Linked DNA regions of Lepisosteus oculatus. The protein of the gene in region 1 interacts with the protein of each later gene in a biochemical or structural test. Links are inferred from orthologs where the notes say so. Each region holds a gene or a part of one and is shown in the gene's direction. Other genes may lie near its edges. The genes, in order: mark3a and kinase suppressor of Ras 1.

What was found.
Region 2: of the proteins of mark3a (region 1) and kinase suppressor of Ras 1, one has a biochemical effect on the other in vitro, tested with the Homo sapiens proteins (2 studies listed by BioGRID). The link is inferred for Lepisosteus oculatus from reciprocal best matches to the Homo sapiens genes MARK3 and KSR1.

The regions. Positions count from the first base shown.
Region 1 is NC_090703.1:6,776,905-6,789,103, forward strand, and holds the start of mark3a (MAP/microtubule affinity-regulating kinase 3a), read left to right. Parts: upstream 1-6,916; 5' UTR 6,917-7,775; coding exon 7,776-7,826; intron 7,827-8,827; exon of another isoform or gene 8,828-9,580; intron 9,581-12,199. UniProt on the Homo sapiens protein: Serine/threonine-protein kinase. Involved in the specific phosphorylation of microtubule-associated proteins for MAP2 and MAP4. Phosphorylates the microtubule-associated protein MAPT/TAU. Phosphorylates CDC25C on 'Ser-216'.
Region 2 is NC_090721.1:7,004,204-7,016,429, forward strand, and holds the start of kinase suppressor of Ras 1, read left to right. Parts: upstream 1-7,726; 5' UTR 7,727-7,846; coding exon 7,847-8,056; intron 8,057-12,226.

The DNA.
Region 1 (12,199 bases):
TCAACAGGAATTCAGCCATTAACAAAATTAAATCATTTTACTGGGGTGTGTGTGGCCATGTAGGATTTGGAGCTGCTTTTGTAGGAGAGCAAATGTTCTTAACGGAGCACTTGTTTTGTGTAATTGGAAAGACAGCGTTAATCTTCATTTATAAGGCTGGACAGTCTAGGCTTTACATGTTTTCACAGCAACGCGTGAAGAACTGCTGTTTAAGATGGAAACCTTGACCTTTCTGGCTTGTACCTTTACCCAACCCCTTTGCTCTTTTTCTATCAGCACAGGCTAGGCCTCCTCGTGTTTCATGTTAGTTATTCTTAGGAGTTTAAAAGCACACTACGCCTTGAACTCTTTGTTCTGAGAAATCTACTAAAAACAAAATATCACCTGCACTTTTCCCTTTGCGTGTAATTTTCTGTCTATGCGAAACACTATTAGCTTAAGAAACGTGTTGCATGCAAAATAACATTATGGCAGTCACAGCTCATTGCAAATCCTTGAAATTCAAACCATGCTTATCAAGGATAACTTCCCAGTAATGCAACAAGGGATCTGGGTGTAGCTGAAACTAGTTACATGAATTATCCTTTTCACAGCTGGGGTGATCTCTCCATTTGAGATTAAACAGTACTTTGACTCATTGAAATTTTACTTGATTTATACTCATAAAACTGTACTGTGTCCCCCCCCAAAAAAAATAGTTTACAGTAGTATTCTATTGTAGAAAACCAAAAGCAATGGTGGGTTAGTTCTTCATATTTACATGATTTTGGAAATTAGGCTTTAAAGAGTTGAATAGTCTCATTCATTTTAACATGAATGTGATGTTGAATCACTAGATGCTTTAATATTATTCATAGCAAGGCGTCAGTGGCACAGACAGTATGAGTCACTCCTTCTTCTGTCCACTTGTGGAAATTTTAACACCCAAGGCTAAAGTTCAGGTGAGTATTTTTCATCTCAAAGGTTTGTGTAAGTGGATGGTGCACATTGGTGGTGGTGGAGGGGAGTCCCCATTACCTGTGAAGCGCTCTGAGTGGAGTGTCCAGAAAAGAGCTATATAAGTGTAAGCATTTATTAGTATTAAGGTTTTTTAAATGATTGATACCTGATGGAGGACGCAATGCCCTTCTCCTATGATAGGGATTCCCAGTCGTGATTCTGGAGGAACATTGTCTGCAAGTTTTGCTCCAGCTGTGTTCTTCATCACAGACTAAATGGTTTCAGTCTCCTGTTCAGGGCAAATTTAAAAAAAAAAATTGCATTCAGCTCTTAAATGTTCAGATGGGATCTGTAATTGGTAGCAACCCCTTTACTAATTTCTGACTTTCAGAACTGCCCTCATCTTATGTGAGCTGCCTGAAATGTAGCCAATTGGCCCTCTGCAGAATATAAAAAGCTCTTTGCGGAAATAGGGGATAGTGTCATTCCCCACTGTCTGGGCACAACAAGTTAAACAGACAACTGAACAAGCAAGAAGATCAAATGATTATGTGCGAAATTAAAGCTGCAGTAGCAGAATTTAATGAAAGACAATTTCCACATGTGGGTTTGCCCTTTCCTTACAAATGGTTCTTGTGCGCCACTAGGGGGCACCGTGCTCACATATGTATGGTTATCCGAAGCCGAGGCGAAAAATACTCGTGAAATTGAAAGGAGGTCACCATTCAATGTAATTGATGTGTTAGCCAGGGCCACTCCTCGTTTTTCCTATCCACTGAACTACAGTTCTTTCTCCATGGTGTCACAGGTCTCGGGAGTGGAAGCCCAGCCCGTATGTGTTTCGTAATTTTTCGGTTCTCTTGTTTAGCAAAAAACAAAAGGCTCCCCACTGTACTTTTGAGGTGATTCATCCCTTAGCAGGTCTTACTCACCGGCGAGAAACTGTTCTCATTCTCTCTCTCTCTCTGTGTCTCTCTTTTGCTCTTCCTTTCAGTGTGAAAAAAGCCTCTGAGCCACACAGGAAATGTAGCGTGGGAGGAGTAGCGTATCCTATCCCCCCTTGAGAAACAGAAGGCAAGACAGAGAGAGCAAGAGAAGGTGGTTAAACACAAAAACTGCAGAGAATACTGCTGAACGCTGCACACGTTGAAGCCAGGACGTCACATTTCAGTTTTTTAGTCTGCTTGTTAATAAGGAATTTCGCCATATTCCTCTGCAGTTTTTTCATAGTGCTAAAATGCCTCGCACATGAACATCTGAACAGTTGTCTCCCGCAAGATGGTGATTCAGATATTCTCCCTAGATTGTTCTTTTTGGATTTGGGGTTTCTTTTCAGCTGAAAGTAAATTCTCCCCCGGGCACATCATGCTTTGCCGTGCAAAATACATTAGCCAGTGTGTGAAGAAAACATTGTTGTTCCAGGAGAGCCTCTTCTTCATCCCCTCACGAAGAGACTCCTGTTGTCATAGCAACCTCACATCTGGATGAAGCTGTGTGCACAGCCAGCTGTCTGATAAGAATGGAGCTGCAATGATGTTTTTCTTAATGGTTATCCCTGTCCAAGAGCTACCAGAACTGTACGGCACTCTGATAAGACTGATATTCTGTTCACAACAAGACTAGGAAACTTTTAGTGCCTGATTTGATCTTCTAGAAACATTTGTCATTTTTACCCAGAGACTGTATTCTTTTCACATTTTGCAAGGTGATCTATCCATCCGCCTTTCCCTCCATTAATTAATTAGCTCTTGTCGTATGACAGTAAAAGGAATCATCTTAAAACGTCTAATTAAAACTTTTGTACTGTATACAGTGGTGTGAAAAAGTGTTTGCCCCCTTCCTGATATCTTATTTTTTGTCACACTGAAATGTTTCAGATCATCAAACAAATTGAAATATTAGACAAAGATAACACAAGTAAACACAAAATGCAGTTTTTAAATGAAGGTTTTTATTATTAAGGGGAAAAAAAATCCAAACCTACATGGCCCTGTGTGAACAAGTGATTGCCCCCCCTGTTAAAACATAAATCAACTGTGGTTTATCACATCTTTGGAAAGCTGAGTTCAATTTCTCTAGCCACACCCAGGCCTGATTACTGCCACACCTGTTCTCAATCAAGAAATCACTTCAATAGGACCTGCCTGACAAAGTGAAGTAGACCAAAAGATCCTCAAAAGCTAGACATCATGCTGTGATCCAAAGAAATTCAGGAACAAATGAGAAACAGAGTAATTGAGATTTATCAGTCTGGAAAAGGTTATAAAGCCATTTCTAAAGCTTTGGGACTCCAGCGAACCACAGTGAGAGCCATTATCCACAAATGGCAAAAACATGGAACAGTGGTGAACCTTCCCAGGAGTGGCTGGCCGACCAAAATTACCCCAAGAGCGCAGCGAGGACTCATCCAAGAGGTCACAAAAAACCCCAGAACAACATCCAAAGAACTGCAAGCTTCACTTGCCTCAGTTAAGGTCAGTTTTAATGACTCCACCATAAGAAAGAGAATGGGCAAAAATGGCCTGCATGGCAGAGTTCCAAGACGAAAACCACTGCTGAGCAAAAAGAACATAAAGGCTCGTCTCAGTTTTGCCAGAAAACATCTTGATGATCCCCAAGACTTTTGGGGAAAATACTCTGTGGACTGACAAGACAAAAGTTGAACTTTTTGGAAGGTGTGTTCAGAACAGGAACATCATACCAACAGTAAAATATGGTGGTGGTAGTGTGATGGTCTGGGGCTGTTTTGCTGCTTCAGGACCTGGAAGACTTGTTGTGGTAAATGGAACCATGAATTCTGCTGTCTACCAAAATATCCTGAAGGAGAATGTCCGGCCATCTGTTTGTGACCTCAAGCTGAAGCACACTTGGGTTCTGCAGCAGGACAATGATCCAAAACACACCAGCAAGTCCACCTCTGAATGGCTTAAGAAAAACAAAATGAAGACTTTGGAGTGGCCTTGTCAAAGTCCTGACCAGAATCCGATTGAGATGTTGTGGCATGACCTTAAAAAAGTGGTTAAGGCTTGAAAACCCTCCAATGTGGCTGAATTACAACAATTCTGCAAAGATGAGTGGGCCAAAATTCCTCCACAGCGCTGTAAAAGACTCATTGCCAGTTATCGCAAACGCTTGATTGCAGTTGTTGCTGCTAAGGGTGGCCCAACCAGTTATTAGGTTTAGGGGGCAATCACTTTTTCACACAGGGCCATGTAGGTTTGGATTTTTTTTCCCTTAATAATAAAAACTGAATTTTGTGTTTACTTGTGTTATCTTTGTCTAATATTTCAATTTGTTTGATGATCTGAAACATTTCAGTGTGGAAAACATGCAAAAAAAGAAGAGATCAGGAAGGGGGCAAACACTTTTTCACACAACTGTATATTAAGTCACAGTTAGTAGCCCTGGACAGCTGTTTAACCCTTATTAGGGCTCATCAATGCGACAAGAACTAATCAGTATTCATACCCTGAACTCAGACTGGTACCCTGAACGTAACCCTGGAAGGAGGTCTGTGGAACAGTTCTGTTAGCTGTACATCCATCTCCGTATATCTCTGTCTCCTGACTCACCAGCCACCAAGTGTTCGATGCCTGTCAGTTTGTGTCCCTCTCAGGAGCTGACTGGGTATCGCGGTGGCATCCTTGTGCTCGTGGCAAGTTGGCAGCCCGTCTGCTTGTGTGCCTCCCTCCCCCTGGACCGGTACTGCCCACACCCCCAGAGAGGGCCACCAGCAGGGCAGGCAGCAGGCCTGCGGACCCTGAGAACAGGAGAGCCGCAGCCGAGAGAGGGAGGCTGCTCTGTTCTCCTTCCAGGAATCCCGACTCTTCCCTGCCTGGAAAACAAGGAGATGAAGGATCTTCAGCGGAAACAGGAAAGAAGCCCTTCATCCAAGGGTGGCGAATGCAGAGCGGAAGTTGATGAAAATGTCATCTGGTCCAAAGTGTGCAAATGTTTATACTGGGGTGTACACACTGCAGCTCGGGCCTGCCAGCATCGCTCCTCAGGAAAACCCTGTCCTTTTTCTGACTCTTTTATTTACTATTGTTCACAGCATTTCAGACGGTGTCCATGTACAGCATCAGCCATGTCATTCCTAAGGCCCCAGTCATGTCAGGACTGTTCTCCTGTTAATGTGAATTAGCAAAGAACTGTCAGCTTGCAAAACACTTGACAGGACATCTTATACACCTTTCTAATTCTGCAGGAAGGGGAAGTAACAACAGTATAAAGAACAGGCATGTTTTTTATAGTTAAACTGTTTCTGTTTCTCGCCAATTCTCTCATACGGGCAGGGACACAGCAGTGAGCTCCGAGCTGAAGTAAAACGTGGTGTTATCGAGTTTAGGAAATAATACACTCACTTTTGTGTGGGACTTTTGTAATGCCTTGGGCTTAGCCTGGTGTAAAGAATCCTGAAGGCCTTATTTTCTCTGTGCCCACTCTGTGGTAGGGGAATTAGATGTGTAGTAGGGCAATTTTATCATTGGGAAAATAGACCCCTTGGTTCCACTCAAAAACATTGATTCAAACGTACCAATATCTACCACCTGTAAAATGACCATAGCATCAACAACAATGATAACACTATAAGTAGAAAGACAGCTGGACAAAGAGAGGGAAAGCCTGTAAATATCGCTCGTCAGTTTGCTTTTAAATACACAGTCGGTGATAGAATGCAGGGAAGCTGGTTCTTCTTAATGGAAATCCAGTTAGATAGTCGCTGTAACAGCTGAATGCCTTCTTTTGTCTCGGATGGGAGGGGTCTTATTCGAAGCTTGTGAGACTGTCTCTGACCCACACCCCGGCCATCTCCAACCCCCCTGCTGTGTATCTTTGGCATGTGATCTGCTGGGAGGCTTCGGGGTCAGGGGTTACGACAGAATCAAGGACTGGTTATGTACAACAGACCAAACTAAAGGGATGTGGGAGTATGATGTTCTGTTGCAGGAGGGTCTAGTTGTTTCAGAACTCTACCGGGACTGACCGACAGTAACCTGACATCGGGCAGGTCCTGGGATCTCACCCCGAGTGTGACAAGCCTCTCGTCCTGCTCACACAACATCAGCCTTCTTGTACATCGAACCCCGTGATGCACACTCTGCGTGCTCCAGGCGTGGGCCCCCCCGAGCGTCTGTGGCGCAGGCCCAGGCGATGTGTGGCACCTGGGGCTCAGAGCAGTGTGGACAGGCATGTGCTTGCCCAGGCCAGAATCCCACCGGACAGCATGTGCAAACCAGCGCAGAGCTTGTGTAGCTCCGCCACCAGCCTCCACACACACACACACCACACGCCTGTGACTTCCACAGCCGGACCCCCTGTTGACCCACCCGAATGACAGCTCATGTTCATCACCACCGTGACTTTACCTGTGCCATCTCTGTTCGGTAAAAAAAAAAAGCCGGCGCATCACGTATTGGTTACTCACAATATTATCGTTATTATGAAGGAGCTTGGGTCTGGGTTTCTCACTAGTTCATTCTGAACTGTCTTCCAACGAGGTAGAATAGCTGCAGAAAACAAACACAAAAAAAGTCGATGAGTCTAAATTTATATAATCTATAACGCATAACGCATGGCGACGAATACGTGTAAAAGCCCTCTGTATGTTGGAGCTAAGTTACTGGGAGAATTAAAAAAAAAAGGACGAACCTACATTAGGCGAAGAAACATATCTATTGTAAGTTACAATATATATACAATGTATGTACCAGTGTGGGTATTTATTGATCATATGACGCATCATTTACAGTGCAGCTTGCGTTCAGGACTGAGGAGGGCACAGAACTGTGTGACTGAAGATGGTCTGTTGAGAAAGGAAGTAACAAGCCTTGTCTTGATGTCTTGTGCAGTTATTCTTCATATCTTTTTTTTTTCTAACTCTCCCTCCCTCTGTCTCTCTCTCTCCAATAATCACCCTAGCAACAACAAACAGCGCTGCTCGGGCAGCAGCGCCAATAAGCTCCGAAGGCAGTCTGTTTCCTCACTTCCTCTCGTCGTGCCAGGGCTTGGCTTGTTGCTCTCCAGCCAGTGGGCAGCCATCTTGGATCCTGCTAGCAAGCAAAGCTTCACCTAGGGGAGATGGGAGGAATCGAGCCGGCAGCGGGTTTTCCAGCTAGACATCACGCTTGAAGCCCAGGGCGTTGTGCTTTGGGGGCCGAGCACTCAGCGGACCTACAGCCCCCGGGGGGTCACAGGCGGGCCGGTCACAGTTTTGGCGTGCACCCTCCTCTCTCTCTCTCTCTCTCCCATCCCCTTTTCCTTGTCTGAATTGCAGTGCAGGAGGGCCTGCAAGGTGTTCCGTGTGTGTTGACTTTTTTTTTTTGGTGGGCTGAAAACTGCACAAGGCTCGGCTTGTGCGTCTGTGCGTCTGGAGGGGGAAGAGAGAGTCCGGACAACTCGCCTGAAACGGACGGTAGCGCGGAGACATGAAAGTGTTTTCGTCGGGCTTTGTACGGAAACAATTTTCTTTTATTTTTCCCGTGACCTGCGAGAACCCAACCACCACCACCACCTCTCTTTTTTTAGGTGTTCAGAGCCGGCGTTTTCGGGTGTCCCCTTAGCTGAGAATAATGCGGTTCGGTATTTTTCCCTAATTAGGCTGCGACCGGGGGGAAACCAATCAAGAATTATCATCCGCTGGTGGTGGGAGAAGCTGGGTTCAAATTGCCGCTGAAAAAAAAAAAAATCTCCCCCTCCCCACGCCACCGTGGAATCCATGGTCTTCATCAGAAACCCAGAGAGAACTGCCTTCCTCTCAGCCCTCTGACTACGGGACTGCAAAAGCAAAAGACCGAGCACGGGAAACTTGCACGGCCGACACGCCGACGAGCACCATGTCCACACGAACACCGCTGCCCACGGTCAACGAGCGGGACACTGAAAATGTAAGTTGTGCGCTACGGTGTGTCAACGTGTTGGCCAGCGTTTGTCACTGTGGGGTTCGTGGTCTTGGGCTCGCTGCTCGCCGTCCCCCCCAGTCCTCCCAGTACTGCTCAGGGCGGCTGTGGGGTTGCTGTCGGAGGATGCTCTGGCTTAGGGAGGCTTGAATCGTTTAGAAGAAACCTCCCCTACTTGATTGTACCGTGTTTTATTTTCCTCAACGATCACCGCTGCCCAAGTATCATCACTTGTGCGAGAGCGCTCATGATGTATTTCCTGGTATCCTGGTGCCCCCTTTTTTTTGTGGGGGGGAGCCGGAGCTGGTGTGTGTTAAAAAAAAATGACTGACGCATAGCCCGCTTGTTGCTCAAACTTAGGGCGCGGAGTATCGGTTTCTTTAAATATGACATTTCCATCGAGACGGGCTAACACGCCAGATAACTAGTAATTATCCCCCGTCTCTGGGAGCCGGAGCCGGCGGCTGCGCAGTGTGGAGGCTCAGTCCCCGCAGAGCCGGAGCTCACGATGGGTGAATCATCTTTTACTCCTCTTTCTTCTCTCTCTCTCGTCCGCTCCCGCCCCCCATCAGCCCGAAAAAGAGGATTTTCACACGTTTGTCGTCCACCCCCCCCCCCAAAAAAAAAAACACACACCAATCTTCAGCGTGGACCCTATTAAAAGGAAAAAAAAAACTCGCGGAACTTCCGTTTTCTGTTTTCAGAGTGGGGACTGTGGTGGTGTCCTTTATTAGAGAGTGTGCAGGAGGTGCCCTCAGGTTACCTCGCCCGCTCGGAGAGCGATAGTTGCCGGGCCAGAGCACGACAGGTCCCCTGTTTCGTAATGAGTGGGGCGACAGCAACAAGTGGTACACCCCCACCCCCACCCCACCCGGAGGGGATAGCACCCCAACATCCAGCTAGCCTTGAAGCGGCTGGTGTTTGGCGGCTGAAAACAACTCCTCCTGCTCCTGCTGCCTCTGAGCTTGAACCCAGGCTGGCTGTCTTACCTGTCGGCGTGGGCGGGCTGTGGCGTGGGGGGGCACCCTCAGTGGGTGTCAGGATCGGAAGTGGCCTCTTCTCCTCGCTGTTCCAATGAGGAGCGTGTTTAGTGCCCACCCCCGGGGTGGTTCGTGACAGGTGCTGGGATGCTTCCTCACCGATCCCAGCGACAGTGTGAGAGCAAGAGACAGGCAGAGAGAGCAGATCAATGAGCTTCCATCACAAAAGAGAGAAGGCAGTCTGGTTTAATGCCATTCAGAGTGCCAATGACAAAATGAAGGGGAGCCACTTGGTGAAAAGGCATCGGATCTCCATTGTAAGTGAATCCCATCTGTGTCTTCACTGTCTTGTCGCGCCGGACAGAGGCTGAGGCAAAGGGAGGTTCTGTGGCAGAAGTTTAGAGGATGTTGAATTCATTCGTTTTCGACAAGTAAACTGGTACAAAAAAGTATTCAGGACGGATACTCGACGGTGTGTTGGTTTTGCTGACAAAAATAAAACACATCCGTGTGTTTTATTTGCACTTTTAAAAAAAAAAACAAACGAAGCAGAAGTCTTTTCGCCGTCTGTCTGCGTTACAAAGAGGGAGATCAGTTGCTGTGTTTGGCTATAGGATGCTCTGCTGAGATATTACAGCATATACACACATGAGCTGTCTGCACTGGGAGAGATACAGCTCTGTCGTTCAGCTGACACGCTTGTATCAAATGAAGGTGCCGTTAGGTAGCGTTGTTGGCGGATGCGGTGCTTTTATTTCTTATTTGCTTGTCTCAACCAAGGTGAGATGTATTTGGTTAAAGCTAATTTCCCTAACAGCTGTTTTAATGCAAATGACTTGTTGAGGCTGGCGCAGCACGGTCCCGGTCAGGCTACGGAACGAGAGGCTTCTGTAGAAAAAATGCGCCTCGACATCCTGTTGTTTTTCCTTTCCAGTTGGAACGTTTTCCTTGAGCCAATGTAAGATGCTGGAAACATTGGGTTGGCACAGTCTGAGAGCGTGTGCGATCCCTTGATTCGGTCGCTGGGTTTTCTACTTCCTCAGAGAGCCCGATTAATAGATTTCTGGTGGGGTTTTATTTCCATCCAGTGGAATGTCAGGAAGGGGGAGAATTGGGAACAGGATTCCTAGCCATGCCGGCTTTTGGCTCTTTGGAGTTTTCCGTTTGAAGGTAACGTGGAAAAGCACTTTCTTTCCAGTCTTGTCATGTTGCTTTTTGCCTGAATCAGGAAATATTGTTGATCAGGTGAAACGGCAAACTCTAGGCCTAACGCAGATGAACGAAGAGGTTACTATAAAACGAATCCACCCCAGGGATCTGTAGGTGTCTCAGTATTGAGCTGATCTATGGATCATTTGATCTAGGCTGTTTTATGATACTGACTGGCGCTGCCTCCGTGCCTCAGTCATGTCACCCTTGAGCATTTCAGTCCTCTTTTATTGTGACCGTGAGAGATGTGCATCACGTGCAATTGTAAAGTTAAGTTCTGTGAGTTTTACTCATTTGAGCTAATGCAGCTTGAGCACTGTATTCCTGCTTCCAGGATCAGGATATCTGCCGAATGCCAGCTTGTATGATGCTTCAGCAGGATGGTGATGATGCTGGGCTGTTGCTATTAATGATTGTGGTTTGTCAAGAGAAATTCCTTCATTGGTTCCCTGAGTACTAAATTACACTAGATTGTTTAATGACAGGCATTTACTTTATCAGTGTAGGGTGGTTACTTGCATTTAGCTAAGGTAGTGATTTTTATTTTAACTATAATCATGTTAGCTTAACTGCAGGTACTCTAGAATTTAGCTGTTTTTTTTTCCATACCAGTACTCTTAATTTTATGCAATGTTGTCGTAATGGTAGGCTTTTGCACTAACAAAAATCGGTGACACTTTCACAAAAATGATTTTAAGTGGTTGGGATGCGGTGATTTTGTTTTTAGAACTATAGGATGTAATTTACTTAAATAAGAGTGACCTGGGGCTGAATTATCATGGTGCCGTTAACTATGGACACTGAGTGTGTATGCGTTGCAATGAGAAATTATGCACTTGAAATGAGCAGTACAGCAGGCTTAGATGAAGAGTCACTGTCATGTCACTCTACAGGACACGGTGCCTTATTGATGATGTCATGCTTCAGGTGAGAGACCGAACCCTCTGAAAAGCACTAACTCTTGCAGTGGCCCTTTCAGAACCCCTTGTCCTGCTACCCAGGAGTTCTGGGCCTTGCTCATTGCCCAGGTTCTGGGAGAGCTCTGCTGAGTCGGGCTGGGGTTGTACAGGCCTGCGCAGGGCACACAATGGACAGGGAGAGCATCGTACACCATCGGTACACCAACCTTAAACTAAACGCCATTGTTCCCTTTCAGCTTGCTCTATCGAATTTTAAAACTGCAGCACTGTGTTACGCGTTAGAGATGAGTTCTCCCTGCTTCGATCTCATTTGGTGCAGGTGTTGAGGCGTATTAACCCGAATTTCTAAATCGGGCATTTCCGAAGCAGGCATGTCTGTGCACTGTTCCCAATGTCTGCATTGGAAGGGTTTTAGAAATTCCCCGCAAACTGGGAGGAGGGTAGGGGCAGCCCAGCCTGGCATGGAAATTAATTTGTCCCGTCAGTTCAGTTGATTCATCAGGGCTTGTTGAATCAGGTGAAGTGTTTCAGACACACAGGTCTTTGACATTTTAAGTTGAACCTGTTCACGGGCTGCAGCTCACCAGCCGACAGAAGGGGATACATACTCTTGTATCCCCTAAGAAATGTTTTTATGGGAACTTTAACTGAAGTGGAAAAAAAACACATCTCGGTTTGGGAAATGCTTCAGTAAAGGCAGATTTAACACAATAAGGCCATTAAGGTCCTGTTAAAATGAGGTGTTTAAGTAATAATAACTGTGATTGAATCAGAACGAATTAGTGTAGGCACTGTATGATGCTTGTGTGGCTGTTTTTGCCACTAAACTGGAAGTACCTGGAAATTGAAGGGTTTTGTGAAGTGATCACTGCAGCAGAGACTGAGTAGGAGAAGATGACTGTTCCCATTCAAACGGGATTAGTCAGGAAAACGGTATCTGGGAGGTGCTGGTGGAGTGGGTTTTTCTGTGGCTCTGTCAAAGGGCCCAGAAATGACCTTTTCCGGAAGGGGCCGAGAGTAATTTCAGTCCAGAGCTGGTTCTTACTGAAGCACTGTGAGAGATTGATTTGTTTTTTTTGTTTTGTTTTATTTGAGGCAAAACCAATTGTGAAGGAAGGAATCAGTCAGTTACTTCAACCCCATCTACTTTTATGATTTAATATGTTAGTGCCTCCAAGTAGACTTTAGATTTCCATTTGAGAATGTGTCCTTTTTTAATTGATAGAGGCTGGCTGGAGAGCTAGAGGCTTGC
Region 2 (12,226 bases), on another chromosome or scaffold:
CAACAAATCCACTAGCAGGGTTAAGCATTCATTTAGGTTTTTCTAGATGTACATGTTGTTCTTTTAAAAAAGCAGTGCACACTTCAGGGTCAGTCGAATAGTTGACGTTGCAGTCAAATCCATCGCAGTATTTTGGCTCAACCAGATAATTGGCTTCTGCATCTGCTATACCTGCTGTACTCTCCTTCAGGCACTGGTCGCACAAAACCTGCCCTGCGCTGTATCAGAAAGCTCAGGTGTTTGACTGATCTCACCCCTCCCTGTCTTCCCAGAGTTCATCTTTCCTGGGGCCTCTGTTCTGGACCTCGGCATCTCCCGAGCGAGTCCTTTCAGGGCTGTCCGACAAGAGAGCTCTCAGGGCACAGCAGCCTGCCTTGTCTTGAGCAGTGCAGCGCGCTTGCGCCCTGGGGAAACCACTGCTGCTACCGCCAAAATTTGCTGAACCAATAACTTTCCCATGGGAAAGCAAGCAAGCAAGCAAACAGCAGCGTGTCACAGTCCGGTCGTGCTGTAATAGGAGATATTCCGAATATAAAACACCGAGCAGACAGTTGGCAGTCCTTGCTGCATGGCTACACACGCTAATGCAGATGTCTCTCATTACTGCTCTTCTTTCCTGTTATTCTCTTCCCGTTCCCCCAGACAGCAGCAGAGTGGCAGCGTGAGTGTCCCCTCTGTAATTGCAGGCCCTATGTCCCTTTATAGGGGGGGAGTGGTGGCACTGTGGCTAAGGATCTGCGCCTGTGGCTGGAAGGTTGCCGGTTCAAATCCTGTGGCCAGCAGAAGAATCCTACTCCGTTGGGCCCCTGAACAAGGCCCTTAACCCCAGCTGCTCCAGGGGTGCCATATAAATCTCTGACCCCAGGTTTCTCTCCCCAAGCATTTTTTTATCACGCAAGATCATCCAACAAATGTGATTTGAATACATGGTTAAGCAGCTTCTATCTGTTTAACTAGGTGAATTAGGCATTTATTTAAGTATGTGTACAGAATATGATTTTATCCCTCCCATTTTGCCCATTCGGACAGTGAAAATACAGCTGGGTGCAGTATCTGATTGTCAGGTGTGCATACACTAAGTCTGAAACAGTAAACCGAAGCTTCTGTTTCTCAGAAATTAAAGAATTGTCCTTTCTATTTGCAGAACTCACATCTCCACTTGAGAAGAGCTCACACAGGACTCCTGTTCTAACCGAGGAGACTAAGAAAGCAGGAGAACTAACAGTGCAGCTTTAGGCTAGTTTTTTGCATCATTGTCACAGTGCCTTAAAATGAATGCGGTCTCTGCTATATTGCTTGTTGGCTTGCTTGCTAAATTTCTTTTTCCCCACTGGGTTTCTTGTCCTTGTGCAGAAAGCACAGTTTCATGGGAAAGGGCTGTGCGGTTGTAAACAGAGTGGTATAAGGAGAATTCTGCTCCCTGGCCCCTTGACCAGAAGTGTGGTAAAAAAACAACAGATATCCCTGTCTCCGTCTCTGTCTTATTAAGATATCAAAGAGCATGCCAGGAGAGAACAGCCTCATGGGATACCTCACATTACCATCCAGTGCTATAAAACTCTTCCAACTTTTTCTTTCAACAAGAAGTACATCTTTTTTTCACCTAATTGTGATGGAGCAAGCTGAGGCTTTGTTAAAACCTCTTCCTTCTCTGAAGTAAATTGGACACACCTGCCTTGATTGATTAATTGGACTGCTGTGCAGAAAAGGGACCATCTGATTGGCCTGGTCCTAAATTGGGACATTCCTCAGGAGTATCAGCAGTCAACTGCTATAACAGCAGACAGGTGCCAAGGGTAGGGTGTGGTGTCTAAGCTGAGCCTGGTGGAGTGTGTTGGGGGTTCCGGGGAATGAAAGTAATGAGTTTGTATTGGCAAGGAAGAAGAGAAATGGAGAATGTGGGAGTTTGGCAGTGATTTGTGTGTTCCAGCTCTCTCAGTGGAACGGAACACTGAAGAGTTGTACCACGTAAGAAGGGAAGCTGGAGATCTTTTTGGAATGAATACCACTGTGAAGGACTTGTTTTTTGGGATTGTGCAGGGTTCTCTGAAAGGGGACTATTGTTATGTCTTAGGAGCCTGGTGGGGTTATCTTGAAATACTCATTCACTTTAGGAGTGCTATGGTGGTTCAGGGCTACAGTCTGTTGGAGGTTTTCATTCCTCACTCTAATATACTCAGGATGAAAATGCACAGTTAACAGTGCTGTTCAAAATCTCCCTTTCTCCTGCTTCTGATCACGTAACAGGCAGCAGTCCAAGATTTTGAATTTCTTCACATTTTTTAGATGTGTTTACAAGGAGAGTGAGAACTGGAACGAAACATCGTTCCTGGAATCCACGATCAAGTTGAAACCACTAGCCAGTAAGCTTGTTTTTTTTCCTACAAAATAACTCAAATTAATCGTTAATTCTAACAGTTTCAAACAGTCTATTCGGCATTTATATAATCATGGTCTTGACTAACGCCCAGCTCATACAGCGCTTTACCAAGAAGTTCGTACTCCATGCTGCTGACGCAGTTCCCCTTTAATGTAGTTCTGCTATTTCCTGGTTACCAGTGGTCAGTGTTCCAGTAAAGATATTGACTGGTTTGCCTTATTCCAGTGAGCTGGTTACCAGCGGTCATTGTTCCAGTAAGATATTTACTGGTGTGCCTTATTCCAGTGAGCTGGTTACCAGCGGTCATTGTTCCAGTAAGATATTTACTGGTGTGCCTTATTCCAGTGAGCTGGTTACCAGCGGTCAGTGTTCCAGTAAGCTATTTACTGGTATGCCTTATTCCAGTGAGCTGGTTACTAGCGGTCAGTGTTCCAGTAAGGATATTGGCTACTGTGCCTTATTCCAGTGGGCTTCTTTCATTTCACTGGCACAATGAGAGGCAGTGAGGTTTTATGCTGATTCAGCCCCTGTCACTGCTGCAGATCTCTGATTTGTGCTGTGCTCCATGCCTCATGAACTCCCTGTGTTTTCCTGTCTTGTGGTTTCCTGTAATGTAGAAAGAATCAGATCTTGCCAGGGGGAGGAAACTAAAAGAGACATTCTTAGCACTGCAATTGCTCAGGAACAAAGAGGAAGTCTGTTTCCAGAAGCAGCTTTTGTCAAGTGCTGGCCTTTGTATCTGGGCTCCCTCAATTTTGGGATTTGCTGTCAATAGCATTGAAAAAGTCACACGAAAATCTATGGAGCTCTAACATAGTTTGTCTCCCCTTTTCCGAATAGACAGACATGGAAATTATTCATTTTGACTTCCAAATGAAGCGAGTGCAGTAGACCTATAGGAGCTCCTGTATGTGTTTGCACATCTGATATAGATGTATTTATTGAAGCTGTTATGCATTGCTTAAAGTGTACCAACTACACCATTTTGAATTAAATGCAAAGGTGAGCATGTGTTCAAATACACCATTATTAAAAGTATGTGTTTGGTGAAACATAGCCCTGAAATTGAATGACCTGTATGCCTGTGCTAAATTAAATGTGGGGTGTGTGGTGGGATCCTGAGATTGCTTAATGCAAATGTGTGCATCAAGGAGGAAAAATGAATGAAAGTAAAGAAAGAATATGGGGCATGTATGATAACAAAGAACACATAAAGAATAAAAAGCACCACACATATGACCAGATTCCAAAGCGGTTCGGAATGCTAATGGAAGGAAGCTCTTTGTTTTTGGAAGAGCATCTTCTCTCTATGCTGTAGTGCAGTTTCCTGCTCTGCAGTCTGCCTTTGTTCCAGCAGTGCCGATACTCCTCCCACAGAAAAAACCCTTCATTAAGAGGCTCACTGACACCAGGGCCTGGCAGTGGTACCTGACATATGCGGACTGATCGTGAGACACTAGCCAGGTTCCTGCTGGAAATGAATACATTTTCTTTGTGCACCATGAACTTGATTATCAGTAACTGGACACATGTGGTCTAGTGCAGATTGTGTCAGCACAGCCTTACTGTTCCAACCCTCTCTGAACACTGCTTCTCTAGAATCCGTTCCGTGAAGAAGAGATCACAAATCCTTCTCACTCTAGTGTTTCAACTGTATTTGATCTTGGAGTCTGGCAGGAATTTAAGTCCAGATCCAGGACCAAAAGTCATTCACTCACACAGCGCTCAGCCCCTGCCCCTGATATGTGGTATTACCCCAAAATCAGAAGACTTCAGTGTCTGAGGGAAAGATTAGTATCTGGTATCTTATTCGAACCTTCAAACAAAAAACTTCTCCCATGCATCTTCAAGCTCAGGTTTATCCTTGCTGTGAAACCCTTGTTGCAGAATTAGTGTTTTTCATCCACTTTGACATTTACCCTCTCCAAAGTTAGTGCTGTTTTGGGACAATCTGTGTGATGTGTACAACTCAAATAAATCTCCCGGTCGGCCTCTGAGAGAGAACACAAACTGGGCTTTGTCTAAATACTCAGACGCTCTGTTGTAGTTTCTTTTAGATTAAGCACGTTCACTATGGACACTTTGCTTGCCGAAGCTGTCTGATAGGAAAAGACTACGCTTGTTCTTTTTTCCCTGTGGGCTGTTCTGTAATGCAACCACAGTTCAGCAAACGCTTTTAGATGAGCCATGTGCTGTATACACTCATCCCAAAGCAAGGCGCTGTGGATGTTCCTCTCCCCATGGCTGAGAGTTAGGAAGTATCACAGGACTTCTTATGAAACATCACTGGTCGATAACATAATAATTATCATTATGGTCCAGGTTAGGATACCTTGTACTTTCTGTCTACATAGTTTGCACTTTGTTTAGGAGTCACAGAAACAAAATAACATCTTTGCTTCTAAGACGTTATTGGGAATCCTAGGACTTTCACTCCTGCTCTGCACATCCTTTTAAAAAAACTCCAGTACATTGAAATAGTTTCATGTATCCTGGAATCCCCCTGAAATGTTTTCCCCATTTCATGCCTGTTGAAACAACTTGTTGTTTCCTGCTGCAATGCTGACCAGGCTATGTGGTCTTTTATTAGTTTGTTAGAGGGGGATTTGGGGATTTTCCACCCTCCAGAGGCCTTAGAGGTTCCAGAGATGCAAGGCCATCTTCAAAGGTCTTATCAGGTTTTCCATGGCTAATATTGAATTACTGTAAGTGCAGCAGAGCATAGAGAAGCCAAGGCAAAAGCATATTAAACCACAGAGGAGTGTGATCAGACATTGTTCGGTAGGCGTCCATGGAAGAGCAAAGTAATTTACTGTGTAACTATTCAGTCCCCTATCTCTCCTACAGCCCCTCTGGCCCTCTCCTCTGCCACTTTCTGTACCCCCTCTCTGCTCCCGCACTTTCCGAGCATCCTCCTGCCCCTCCGCTCCTCACTTTTGGCATGAACTGCCCCCAGAAATCAGACCTGCTCAGGCCGTGACCCCTTCACCACCTGCTGTGTTTAGACAGTTCCTGTGGACTCTCAGGTGCCGTCTCCCGCATTTCCCGGGCTGGCTGTGGGGCTTGTTCGTTACGCCCGTTGGCTGTAGACGCAGAGCTCGGGCCCCCAGGCTGCCTCCACGCTGTCTGAGTGCCGTTTCTTTTTTGCCTGGAACTACTCCTCCAGGTTGTGTCAGCTATCTTTTTCATCGCGTTTGCTTGTCATATACTGTTTACGTGATCGTTACAGTACATTACATATGTATTTTGTAAGCTGTCATGGATAAGGGTTAGGCCGGCATTGCAAATAAATAAGACCGATGATGATACCAGCAACAACAGTTAAATGTAATTCATGCATGACGTCACCCAATGAGGAAATGCAGTTGTGCTTGAGTATTGAGGAGTTGGGCAAAAAAAGCTTTGGCTTCACTTGCTAAACTGAGGATGGACCCCCAGGCCGGAGCAGGAGGAAGTCAGGACCCCCTGCAGAGGGAGGAGTTACCCAAGGGGCAGCAGCACAGGTGGAGACGGAGAGGAGGAGGGAAGCAGAATGATGTCTGCGAGGAAGAGGGCGGGGCTTCCTGTGGTATTTATAGAGTTTTCAGGAAGTGATCCAAGTTAGGAGTAGAAGAGGTCGCTGTCATCCCTCCTGGCTGCCAGTTAAAAAGCCCACTGGCAGTAGCACAACGATGGGAAAGCACTGCGGAGATTGACCATGGTCACGTTAAAGGATGCCCAGTGCTCCTGGAGAGAGGTGTTTTTCAGTTCAGCTGCTGGCAGAGAGGGCTGGTTCTTAGGCCTGGGTGTGCAGAATGACATTACCCTGTGGAAAAGCCCTACAACACAAGGGATGCAGTCAAGGGCTTTAAATTGTTAGTCAACATTATAATAATAGCATATCTGCCAGATTGAGCAGATGTGTGTAGGAGTGTATCAAAGCGGTGTCTACAAGGCACAAGGCATTGTGGTTCTCCAGCAATTTCAGTAGGTGTATTGTGAGTGTTTTGGCTGGAATCGATCCTTAAAAGACAGCTGCAGCACGCCGACCACGAATTCTTGCTATGGGGCAGGAATTCCAGATTAATCCTGGGCTCGCCGCATTCTGCAAGCATCGTGCTAGAGGATTTATGTTTATTGAGGGATCTAAAAGATTAGACAGTAGATATTTTCTAACAGACTTACAAGGTCATCGACGCAAACAGCAAGAGGGGGCTGGCAGAAGCAGGGGCTGCAAGTGGGGCTGTTAGATGTCAAGGGTTTTTCCCAGTCGGCTGTATTAAAGCAGATCTTTTATCGCCTTTATTTAAAGGCGGGAGGTTTGCCAAATCTCCCACGTCCACTTACAACCTCTTGGTCATTATAAACTGGATATTTCGGTGAATTAAAAAAAAACAACTAATTCATGTACTGCCTGCATTTTGGCATTATGTCTCTGCTCCCTGTCACTTTTTCTTTCTAAACGTGTGAGTTTAAATATACACGGAGTTGTGAAAGGGTGATAACTGAACTGAAACCCAAGGCGATGACGCAGCATGAGGATAGTAATTAGAAACCTAATACGCACAAGCGCCTGGATTTCCAACCCAGTGATCGCATGCAGCCGAACCTGCACAGCTGATCATTATACAGTTCTATATTCTTCTGTAGGACTTTCTTTGAGCTTACTACCACCCGCGTTCGTCAAAACAAAATCTTGACAGTATGCAAATTCCGTAAAAAGTCACCCACTGTCTTCGTCTTAAATGTTTTAGCCTTAATAAGAATATACTTCTTTTCAACTCGACTGCAAAATGAAATTGAAGAAGAATCCGGGGGGGGTGGGGAGATGAAAACCTCTGAAGAAATTTGTGAGCGACACTAATTGTAGAAAATCCTTTGTGATGGTAATAGAATACGGGCGTTCTAACTCTAAATAAAGCGTTTATTCATTTGGTTTGTTTCATTTAATAAATAAACCAAAATGTATTTGATTTCTATCTTGTTTTTTTAAAAAAATATTTTTCACTTCTACATTCGCTCCAAAGCTTCAAAAGAGAGAGACCCCAAAAACTACATCTCCCAGAGTCCAACGGGAGGCATTATCTTAGCAACAGCTGACAGACGGTAAAAGCCGAAGTGAAAAGCTGCCAGCGAGAGAGCGGAGTCAGCAGGGCGGCTGAGCTTCGCTGCTGCTGTCAAACTAACACACAGCAGGACTTGGGGGCTTTTTTTTTTGCTTGGACTCTCGTGTTTGGCTATTTCCACCTTCAAATTGATGATACATGTAAATATTTCTTCGACTTTAATTCGGGCATGTGATTAAGCCAGGGAATTATTTTTTAACCATTTGTGTGTGTGTGCGCGGGGGGAAATTATTCAATTTTTCGTCTCTCTAACCCCCCAAACTACCCCCCCTACCCTTCCTCCTCCCTCCCCCCCCGCCCCCCACCACACGCACACACACACACACACCACCCCCCGCAAGCCGTGCCCAAATGCCGAGGAATGGACACCGAGTCTGGCAAAGAGGGGAACATGGTGGAGAGTGACGAGGTGCCGGAGAGGGCGAGTGGCCGCGACGAGGCGATGGCCGCGCTACAGCAGTGCGAGCTCATCCAGGACATGATCGAGATCTCCATCTCCAGCTTGCAGGGGCTCCGGACCAAGTGCGCCGCGTCCAACGACCTTACCCAGCAAGAAATACGCACTTTGGAGGTAATGAGCGAAGCCGCAGACCTTTACGCACAGCAGTTACAGTGCAGAGCCCAGTGCGCTCTCCTGCAGGAGCTGTCTCAGCGCTTCATAGTCTCGCCTCGCCTGGCTCGGGGCTTTGCGCTGCAGTGTTTCAGTAATGTTGTGCAAGGTGATCGAAATGTACGTTGAGCTGTACTTTGTGATCTTTCCGCCCTCCGGAGGAAAACAAATCCACTTTAAAGCACGTCATCTCGGCGACTTCGTGTGTGGTAGAGAGAGAGATAGGATAGGTGATTGTTGGTGGATCTGAAATAAAATACCAGAAGAAGGAGAAAAAACAAGAATGCGCTTCGAAAATATAGCGTCCCTGCGAAGTTGAGTCTTCTGTTTTGTTTTTGTGTGACAAGATGAAGGTTGCGCATCTCTGCCACGGCACAGTCATTTGTCAGTTCGGTTCTTTTGCGCAAAAGACTTGCCCCGCTTTCATAAATAGAAATCGCTTCTTCTGTAAATTAAAACCCGCCCGGTCATAAACTGTAGAGTTGGCTTGTGCAAGGGGCTTCACTCTGAACGCGTTAAGAGGAAATATTAAATTATCCGGCTATCATCAACTCTCAGTAGCCGTCCGGTAATCTTTAATTGAAGGAGATATTCTTTTATTTAAATTCGTGACATTTAGGCCCGCAGAGTCAATATCAAAGGTCTCTCCGGTTTTAATTTATTAATGGAGCAATAACCTATTAATTTAGATACTGGAGAAGCCTCTCAGGAGAAAACGATGTAAATATGTCAGGGCAGATATACACGTAGGGGAGGTGGTGGTGGTCGGGGCAGGTGCTGGTTTGGATCAGGACAATTGCTGTATCACAGTCGGCGCAGTTGAGCTATACGTGATCTTAGCCATTACATAGGCTTAGTAAGTATATGCAGTTTGGACCTTGGTGAAATGCGGCGCCGGTTCGTTTTTATCATCCCGATGTTATGTCTATGTTGTATAAGGTCTCGAAGAGTCAAGTGGAACAGTTTGTTAGTTGGTTAATTTCTGCTGTAATTATTGTTATAATTGTGTATGGACGTCTTGATGGTCTGTAATGGGCTGAACCTCAGGGTTTTACTGGTATTTATGTCTTACCTAATGTTTTTAGGGAAGACCTGCTGCAGAAAAAAAATAGCTTTAATCAAAAGTAGTTTTGTGTAAAATCAAGCCATAGAGATTAATTCTACAGCATTGCTGTCCAGGAAATTTATGCAGGTATTCTTTCAGATGTGAGTTCATTTATTAACCCTCTACCTGCTTTCTGAGCATAAGGGAGTCGACAGCAATTTTTGCAATTGTTTTAGAGTACTGCATGAGTGCCAACACCCCCTCGCACACACACAAACACAAAATAACAAAATATTTCGACACACCGTGGTCACAGCTGACCGAGCTTCTCAGAAAGTCCCAAATGAGGTGGATAAATTCCTGAAATATCCGCAAAGATGATTCCAGGAGCGCCCCCCACACCGGACTCCAGGACCAGAGCCCGTTCTGAGCCTGCTCAGCAGAGGCAGGAGCAGGCCGGTGGAGAGGAGAGAACGGGCGAGTGAAACACGGCCCTGTTGCGACTGCTGTTTCACGGAGATGTTTCAAAGGCAAATGAGATAAATTCCTCAGACGAACAAGCCCGCGGCAGTGGGAGAGCACGGTCAGTGTACCCTCTCCGTTTACGCTCTGCTCTAGAGAGGTTGCGCCTGTCTTTAAATACCCGTCGCCGAGGTTTGCGGAGGATACAGTGGGGTTCATCGTCCCGGAAAGCAGTAGGGTATCCGCAGGGGACTAGACAGCCAGTCCTCAGGGCTTCTCCAGCTGCCGCGGTGCTGGCCCCAACAGGGCGAACCTTAACTCGCTTCTCTCGTCAGGGCAGCACCCCGAAAATCTTGATGTGGGTTGGCAGGAACGCGGCTGAAACAGAAACGGTTAAAATTGGGTGGGTGGCCTTGAGCTGGTCTGAGCCCACCTGGGGCGGGCAGACGGGAGGGAGTCATCTCAGTGGGACCTGCCTGCGCCCAGGTAACTGCAGTAGCCCCTCCAGAAACTCCTGACACCCTCCTTGAGCACTGGTGTTGTTCCAGGGGTCCTCATTACCCCCATGCCAGAAAAGCCAGACTTGGCTCTGGACAATCGAAACAATTTTTCGCCCCATCTCCAACTTACCCTTGCAAAAAATCTAGAACGTGCTGTTAAAAATTCAGTTTAATAACTACCTCATTGAAAATAATCTTTTTGAACCCCTCCAGTCTAGCTTCTGACAACGTCTTAGCACAGAAACTGTCCTGGTCAAAGTCACTAACAGACTTCTAATAGCTTCTGATTCTGGTTTTCTTAAATGCTTTGAGAAGCCACCTTTAAAGGCGCTATATAAATAGTCTATTATTATTATAATTAGTGGTTTCCACTGTGTCAGTGTTGGGGCTGGCTCAGAAATGCCACTAGGGCATGTTGAGGGTGCTGAGATACTGGAGCATTCCTTCATAACAATAGTCTGCAGCTCCCACCAAATATTCCTCTAACGGGAAGGCCAGGCCAGTTACAGGGAGAGACTAAATATTTAGGCATTTAAGTGTGATACTAATTTATGGTTCTAAATTCTCTTCCATTCCCAAGATGCATTGAGCTTGAAAGTGACAGTGTTGAGGTGGGCTTTACTTTGGCAACACTAATGCCTAATTTGGCTTTACTGTACAAGAAAAATGTTCGTTTAGGAATAAAAGGAGAAAGTAGTCAGACTAAAGATCTGATGAAAGGGCTACTTTTTTTAAATGGTTGGCACTCAGACATATTTCAGATATACTGCAAAGTCACATTAATTAGCAACTTAGGAATATCAAGAGTGGGTGTTTGTGCTTTGCTGTCTTCCCAGAATGTCTGTCCCATTTTCTGATTTGACATAATGTAAACTTGAAGCTAGATTATTAGGAATAATTTAGTTTTCTTGAAGTGTTCTTACATGAAAACAGGGAGAGAAAGTGTCACAATGATTTCCGGCAAAGTGTGCCTAAGCAGTTTTTTTCCCAGTGGGTTTAGTGAAGGAGTGATTTGGCCTAAATCTTTGACCAAACAGTTTTAGAATTAAACTGTAAAATAAAACATGTTTTACAGCATAACCTCGATTTTGCCACATTGATACATAGGAGAAAGTTGGGAACTGGGATTTACCATGTAAAACTTGGGTTATGAAAGCTAAACACGAAAGCACCTTATGCTTTACATTCCTGAAGTAGACCAATTGTAAGAACATCATATTTAAAACCATTCCAATTATATTCTTCAATATAAAATATGCTTGTTTCTTTTAGATATGCCTAAAAATGCACTGAAGCACCCCCAGAAACTCAACTGTCTGTATTTATCTAAGAATTGCTCAGGTGGAGTTTGTTTGTCCCTGTACTCGTTTTGTATCTGTGTTGAAAAAAGATCAAGCCTACCCTCTCATTTTGTGTTTGTTTTGCCTGGTTTGTTGCTTGAAGTCATAGAGGTCCCAACATAGCGCTTAAGACATTGAAGAGCAGGTGTCACGTTGCCTGATGGAAAGCAAGATTTGTCGTAAAGAAATGGCTAGCAGCCTTGTCACTTCCAGGACATTACAGATGGTTCTTTCTGCCAGTGCTGTAATTCATTGCCTATGAATGAGCTTGTTTCCCTTGCTGCTGAGAATCATATGAGGAGACAGGAGGATCAGCAGCACCAAAGGCTTTGCAATGGAAGAATGGAACGGAAGGGTTAAGGCTTACAATTGCTGTCAAAAAGTTTCAGCCAATGGGCTTCGGCCAAAAAGCACATGGCCACACAGAGAGTGGATCAGCCTCGCTTGTCCTTCAGTCTCTTGTCAGTGCAGACCTTCTGAAAGAGCGATCAGTGACCCTTGGTCTAGTCTGTGTGTGTTTACATGCTGTGTTGGCTATGTTGGTCCTGCCATAAATCATGGCTCTTGTGGATCAAGCCAAGTTGGAACACTGTACTTAAAACTTGAATTGAAAGTCTGTTAGGCTGCTTTTACCTGCACCAGTGAGCCTTCATGTGATGCTGCAAGACTCAGCTGAGCATACACCAATTCTTCCTTGTCTTGTAAGGACTGCCTACATGCTGAACCATAATGCTTGTTAGAATAGACATACAGTACAAATAAGTTATGTTTGGAGTTCTTTGTT